Linked DNA regions of Cricetulus griseus. The protein of the gene in region 2 interacts with the protein of the main gene of each other region in a biochemical or structural test. Links are inferred from orthologs where the notes say so. Each region holds a gene or a part of one and is shown on either strand. Other genes may lie near its edges.

Region 1 (3,604 bases), on a different chromosome or scaffold from region 2:
AGAATTCGGCTCATCTCACTTGCTGCCCAGAAATTCATCTCAGATATTGCCAACGATGCCCTACAGCACTGCAAAATGAAGGGTACAGCCTCTGGCAGCTCCCGGAGCAAGAGCAAGGTGTGAAAGGCGGCTCACCTTCCACAGCAGTACAGGCTTAACTTATCCTGAAACCCCTTTGGGAAGCAGCATCCTAGGGGCGGTATTGGGCCTACTCAGGGTTATCTACGAGGGACTGGAATCTGGGATTACTGTGCTCAGCTGGTGGTCTTCCCTCTTCCCTTAGGACCGCAAGTACACCCTAACCATGGAGGACTTGACCCCTGCCCTCAGTGAATATGGTATCAATGTGAAGAAGCCGCACTACTTCACCTGAGCCACCTAACCCAGATGTATTTGTCTTTCCCTCTGTCCCCACACCAGCCTGTTTTCATAATAAACTTTATTGTGACAGGCAGGGCTTATCCCTCCCATGTTGGGAGACATCATGTGGCAAGTGACAAAGCTCTTGAGCCCAGCCCCTTTTGGGGCTACAGTGGTAGGGATGGGAGCAGGGATGAGCCCCATAACTGGGGTAGTACCATGATTGGAGACGGGAGGCAACCAGAGGCCTTCAGCTTTGGGGAAGTACACTCCCCCAACCTTGTTTTGACACCTCTGGAGTCTGGGCCAGGACCTTCCAGTCCTACTTGTCTTGCATCTTCTCCAGGATAGGCACAATCATGTCAAACTTGGGTCGCTTTGCAGGATCTTCATTCATACAAATCTTCATGAGCTTACACACGTGTGGGGAAATACCTGGTGGAATTGTAGGCCGAAGGCCTTCCAGTGCCACCTGGAAATTACAAGGAACAAGGTGAACTTCAGAGTTGGAGTTAATCATATGGTAAAAAAACTTTTGACCCTTCAATGGGATTACTATAAATCTGCACAAATTGTGAGAAGAGCTTGCCACAGCAATTGTCAGCACCACTACCCCTATACAAGTATGTGCAGTTCTATGCTCACCTTCATTCCGATCTCCATATTAGAGAGGTCAGCAAAGGGCACCTCTCGTGTCACCAGTTCCCACAGAAGCACTGCAAAGCTCCACATGTCTGCTGAGCGTCTGTTAGTGTCTTCAGGCTTCTTCTGCAGGGCTGGAAGGAAGAGGGCTTACTACTCCAGCTGCCTAGCCTGTCCTATCTCTGCCTCTTCCACTGTTATTGTGTTGGTTCTTCTCAATTCCCAACATGATGCCTTCACCTACCTTCAGGGGCCACCCAGGCAGGTGCATACATGCGCCCTGGGCACTGGAAAGAAAACTTGACATCAGCCATGCTGATTCGAGCAGTCATGTCTTCATCGATCTGAGGAAGAGAAGTTCAAAAAGGTGGGCCCTATTGTAGGCATGCAGAGGGCTTTGGGGACCAGTAGTGAACTTGTGGACTCACCATTACACTACGGCTATTTAGTGCATGTCGAGGTATGAGAGGCTCTAGTGTGTGTAGAAAAGCCATGCCTCTTGCCATGTCCAAAGCAAACTTTACAGCTTGGCTCTGGTCCACAACGAAATCTAACCGGAAGCAAGAATTAATTTAGAGTTTACCACCCCTATTTTAGTCCCTCCCCAACAAGGCCAGTATCCTTACTGGTGCCTTCATGTAGTACATTGTAGAGAGATCCATATGGCATCCAGTGTGTGATAAGGGTTGGGTGGGGAGCTGGTGGAGCCTGGCAAGCTCCTAGCACTGGAAGCACGTTTGGATGTGAGAAAATCCTGGGAGAGGGAGAGAGTGGTGAGACCCAACAGAATTTCCCTTTTCAGTACTATTTGGGCTTCCACTTTTGCTGTCCCACCTGAGCCGGGGACACTCTTCATTGAAGTCCCTGCTTTTCCTTGTACTCCAGTCTCGAACCTTCAGCACCTTCACAACAATGTCATTGCTCTGCCAGCGGCCTTTCCATAGCTGAAGGACAGGTAGAGGTTAGGCGGTATTAGCTCAGGCTATACTATTTCCTTTCTATTAACTGGAAGAAAACCTTAGAGATACAGAGTGGCAGTTTGTGAGTGTTAGAGAGGGAGGGGCAAGAAGGGCAGGGATCACCTCTCCAGAATGATTCTCGTTGAGCTTTGCCAGAAAGTTGAGCTGTTTGAAGTCAATACCGGAGTGTTTGTTCAGGGTCCCATTTCCTGAGAATATGGGTAGGTCAGGTACCCAGCTTCACCCTAACCCACTTCACTAGCCCAGGATCCTGAATTACAGCCCTTCCCCCCACAGCAGTGACTCACGGGGCCGAGTACGAGTGGTCCCCTTCCAGAATGTGTCCTTGTATGGAATACGGTTGAGATTCTGGCCCATCTTCTCTGCCCGTTCTGGGGAGGAAAAACAGTCTTAGCCTTAACTGTGATATAGAGGGAAGAGATGCAAGATAGGACAAGAGGACACAAGCTAGGGGTAGGGAATGGACCTCGGAGAAGCTCTCTAAGGGGTGCCTTGGCTTTGTCAACAGGCATCTCTCCATACTTGTTACAGATGCTGACAAGAGCCCCGTTAGCCACCAGGTCCTGCAAAGAAAAGATAATTTTTATTCAGGGGGAGGGGGGGCTGTTAACTGTGTCACAAGCAAGCACGAACAGAGATGCAGTGTACTGTCCTGTAAGTGTCACACAGTAGGATTGACAGGATGGGTTGATGGTTCCATGCTCAATTTGTTTCCCACTCATCCTAGGACTTAGGTCTGAGTACTTACCTCTGCCACCTGGTCTTGACCCCAGAAACAGGCATAGTGAAGGGGCACATTCCCATGCTCATTCACTGCATTGATGTCAGCCTTGTATTGCAACAGCTGCGCCCCATGGCCAAGAAAAGAAAAGAATATAGTCCCAAATTTAGATAGTACACATTCTCCATGTGACAATAGCTGTTACTGACTTCACAATTGTGTACATGTGAGATGTGGGTGTTGAAGGGTTTGCCCATACCTTCTGTACAATGTCACGGTGTCCATGACTGGCTGCCAGGTGCAGGGGGGTATCATCCCCACGATTCATCACATTGATACGTGCTCCTCTCATGATCAGCATTTCAACCACCGCAGAGCGGCCTTCTCGGCAGGCCCAGTGCAAGGGGGAGAAGCCATGATCATCCCTTTGAGAAAGAGGCATGGAATTGGAGGTTGGGAGGGACAAAAGCTTTGATGGGAGAATTCTATATTCACTGAGAAGGCTTGCCTCTCTAGTACTTAATTTTTACTCATGTCAGCAATTCACAAAGTTCAATTCAGATTTTCCCTTGAGCTTCACACCCAGTCACTCAGATGTCCCAACAACTGTAAGGTTTATTACTTTAATGACCATCTCCTAGATCCTCTTCCCTAGCAGTTCTTCATTAGGTGATAGCACTCTTCTGGGTTCTTTGGCGTCTGCTGCTCCTTGATTGACAGTACTAGGAGTCAAACCCAGGGCCTTGTACATACTTGGCATATGCTATGTATACCACTAAGCTGTATCTTCAGCTCATACATTTTTAGCCACACCTTTAATTCTGTTTCCACTGCTTCTTGTGCCTCTCCTTATTGTAGATGTACACTGACTAGATTGTAAGAATCTATTGAGGTAGCTGGG
Region 2 (3,822 bases):
AAACTGGGCTTTATATTGTTTTATAGTCTACATTTTATTTTATCTGATAGCTAACCATTGTTACTTAGTTTCTGTGACTGGTGAGTCTGCTCTGCTATAACTTCACTTTTCCTCTACAATTTAACACAGTGAAAGTCTGTCGTTGTTTCTCCCCAGTGATGGGCACAGAGGTTTGCCTCTTTAGGGGAGAGGGCCTGTCCTGGCTCCCTGCTGTCGCCTTCATGTCTGAATGGTACTTACTCTATCTAGAGCAGTGGTTCTCAACCTTCCAATGCTGTGACCCTTCAATACAGTTCCTCATGTTGTGGCAACCCCCAACCATAAAATTATTTTCATTGCTACTTCATAACTAATTTTGATACTGTTATGAATCATAATATAAATATCCATTTTCTGATGGTTGTGGGCCATCCCTGTGAAAGGGTTATTCAAACCCCAAAGGGATCAGGACCTACAGGTTGAGAACAACTGATCTAGTGTCCTATCTTTCATTGTGTGCTCAAATAATTCTTTATATAACATAGATACAGCAAACTGCATGTAATAGAACTATAAATGTTGTATTTTCAGGCCATATCGTATCTGCTTTTAGTTGTAGGTTGGGGATTAGAATGTTTGGTTAGCATTTTAAGAGAACGTTGCTTTTTGCTAATATAATTAAATGGACAGTCTCATGACATAGATACATATACTTGCCAAAAGTGTGTCTGTACTGTCTGTTTTGGATATTTAAAATAGCCCCTCCTCCCAGGGCCTATCTCTTTGGTATTTCTCCTCTGTGAGTGAGGTATTTCCCAAAGTAATTAATTTGCTCTCATACTGGGTTCTGTTGTGGCAAGTTAGAATAACAGTGTTAAAATCTGTATTTGTACCTTATTTTAATTATTTTCAACTAGATTTCTCATTTTCCTCTCTCCTCCCTCTTTCTCCACTGCCTGCACTTTGAGACAGAATCCATCCATTCTGCATAGGCTGCTTGGAACTTAGTATGAAACCCAGGCTGGCCTCAGACTTCTGATCCCTCAGACTCTGGGTGCTGATTACAACACTGTGTCAGTACCCAGTTTTGTGGGCTTTGTTTTGAGACAGGACCTCGCTGGGCAGCCTAGTTGGCCTAGAAATGAAGGATCCCCTGCGTTAGCTTTCCCAGTGCCAGCACAGCAGTCATGGACCACCATGTCTTCCTTCAAGTTAGACTTCTTAGACTGAAACTGTAACACTGAGTTGTTACATGAACCAACCCCCTTTTTTCCTTCAGTGCGAGGGATCAAATCCTCTCTCATGTCAGGCAACCCCTTCCACCTACTGAGCTACATCCCTGAGTATTTTCTTGTCATTTTATGTCATTTTGAATAGAAAATTAGATGTATCTATAGTCATATCTGACACTAATAGATCTCTTCCTTTTTTAGAATTAACCATTTGATAATGAATATGTAATTTTATTCACTTTTTGTCGTGCTTTAAACATGAGTATTTAGCTGGGTGTTGTGGTGCAGGCTTTTAATGGCAACACCCAGGAGGCAGAGGCAGGAGGATCTCTGAATTGAAGACTTGTTAGTGTAAACAGAAAGTTGCAGACCAACTAAGGCTATGCGGAAAAGGTGGGGAGGGGGTGCTAGAGAGGTGGGTCACTGGTTAAGAAGAGCTCTTGCAGAGGACCCGGGTTTACTTCTCAGCACCCTCTCAGTAGCTTACAAGCATCCGTAACTCCAGTTCCAGGGGACCAAACAGACACCAGGCATGCATGCAGTGTACACATGTGCACAGGAGCAAAACACTCATAAGATAAAACAATTTTATTTAGAGACTTACTATTAAGATTTAGGTGTATGTGAGTTCAGGTGCCCACAGAGGCCATAGATAGCAGAACCCCTTAGGAGCTGTAATTACAGACAATTATGAGCCGTCTTACATGGGTGCTAGGAACTGAACTCTGTTCCTCTACAGTAGCACTCTTAACTGCTGAGCCATCTCTCCAGCCTCAGAAATGAATAGTTCCCATTGAGAACTTTCTGGTATTGAAGACTGTTTGTTAAAGCCCGTGTTTCCTTCCTTCGGCAGTATGATGCTATCAGAATCAATCAGCTTTACGAGCAGGCCAAGTGGGCTCTTCTCCTGGAAGAGATTGAATGCACTGAAGAAGAAATGATGATGTTTGCAGCCTTGCAGGTAAGGAAGACAGAGTGGATGATTCTTAGCAGGGAAGGGGAGAGTGGTGTTAAAGTGGCACGTGGGGCTGGCAAGATGGCCCAGCAAGCAGATGCTTGCTACCAAGCATGGTAACTCAAGTTTGATATCTAGTACCTACTTGGTGGAAGGAGAGGACCAGCTCCCAAAAATCTGCTGAGGCTGGGCATAATGGCACGCCTTTAATCCCAGCCCTGGGGAAGCAGAGGCAGGCAGTTCTCTGTGAGTCTGGGGTAGCTAGGGCTACATAGTGAGACTCTTTTTTTAATGCTGTCCTCTCACCTTCATGTGCACACATGAATGGCACATGCATGCACATACTAAATAGATGAAAATTTTTAAACATTAAAAGTGGACATTTACAAAAGTAAACGTGATTTTCTTCTTCTCCCTCTTTTTTTTTGGGGGGGGGGGTTCTAAACAGGGTTCTCTATTGTAGCCTTGGCTGTCCTGAAACTCACTGTATCCCCGACTGACCTCAAACTCAGAGATCCACCTGCTCTGCCTCCCTAGTTCTGGGATGAAAGGTGTGTGCCACCACGACCCAGCTAATGACTATTTTTTTGTTGTTTAAAAATATTTAAGAATAGGGGCTGGAGAGATGGCTCAGAGGTTAAGAGTACTGGGTGCTCTTCCAGAGGTCCTGAGTTCAAGTCCCAGCAACCACATGGTGGCTCACAGCCCTCTGTAATGAGATCTGGTGCCCTCTTCTGGCATGCAGGCATACATGCCAGCAGAACACTGCATACATAATTAATAACCCCCCTCCCCAAAAGACAGGGTTTCTCTCTAGCTTTGGAGGCTGTCCTGAAACTCACTCTGTAGACCAGGCTGGCCTCAAACTCACAGAGATCCACCTGCCTCTGCTTCTTGAGTGCTGGAATTAAAGGCGTGCACCACTACCACCTGGCTTATAATAAATAAACATATATATATATATATATATATATATATATATATATATATATATATATTCATATATACATATATGAGTCAGTGGTGCGTTTGGTTACTTTCCTATATCTTGTAGAAAAATTGGTCTTTTCCCCTCCCCCCAGTGTATAGTAACTTGAAGCTAACTCAGTTTTCTCTTAGAAATAAAATGCTAATAATATTAAATTGATGATAAGGCACATTGCAAACTGGCGGTGGCAGATATAACACCTTTAAATAATAAGAGTTCAAGAGACAAGGATAAACATAAATGTTTTTACAATATTAATTATTAAGCAGAAAGCTAATGTTTCTTTAAACTAATATTTTTCCACATGTGGGCTTTGGATACCACATGCTTCAGAATTATATTATTACTTATTAAAAAATTAATTCCCATTACTGATCCACCCTCCAGTGGAATGGCTTTAGACAAATCAGTGTGCTTAGAAGCAGTGAGGTCCATTGTCACCAGACTGACTCTCTTCAGATGTCAGTGTGCCTGAGTGGGGCTTTGGCAAGCATTCCTGGCCTGTAATGGGATTCTAGTCTTCCCTAAGGTCCCAGTGCAATTGATATTCTTTAAATAGAAATGGGAGAAGCAAGGCTGGCCCTCACCCTGAGGATTTCACTTCTTTACTCAGAACAGAAAAGCGTCTCGGCCTTCCAAATGCACCAGCGCACCAGGAAGTTCAGTTA

Evidence for each region.
Region 1: the proteins of Fermt2 (region 2) and Ilk form a complex in vitro, tested with the Homo sapiens proteins (2 studies listed by BioGRID). The link is inferred for Cricetulus griseus from reciprocal best matches to the Homo sapiens genes FERMT2 and ILK.

The regions. Positions count from the first base shown.
Region 1 is NC_048596.1:93,960,206-93,963,809, forward strand, and holds the end of Ilk (integrin-linked protein kinase), read right to left. Parts: intron 3,129-3,604; coding exon 2,963-3,128; intron 2,827-2,962; coding exon 2,731-2,826; intron 2,546-2,730; coding exon 2,449-2,545; intron 2,354-2,448; coding exon 2,270-2,353; intron 2,171-2,269; coding exon 2,085-2,170; intron 1,947-2,084; coding exon 1,837-1,946; intron 1,757-1,836; coding exon 1,629-1,756; intron 1,553-1,628; coding exon 1,431-1,552; intron 1,347-1,430; coding exon 1,247-1,346; intron 1,137-1,246; coding exon 1,006-1,136; intron 833-1,005; coding exon 683-832; 3' UTR 595-682; downstream 1-594. UniProt on the Homo sapiens protein: Scaffold protein which mediates protein-protein interactions during a range of cellular events including focal adhesion assembly, cell adhesion and cell migration.
Region 2 is NW_023276807.1:201,465,942-201,469,763, reverse strand, and holds part of Fermt2 (fermitin family homolog 2), read left to right. Parts: intron 1-2,064; coding exon 2,065-2,172; intron 2,173-3,822. UniProt on the Homo sapiens protein: Scaffolding protein that enhances integrin activation mediated by TLN1 and/or TLN2, but activates integrins only weakly by itself. Binds to membranes enriched in phosphoinositides.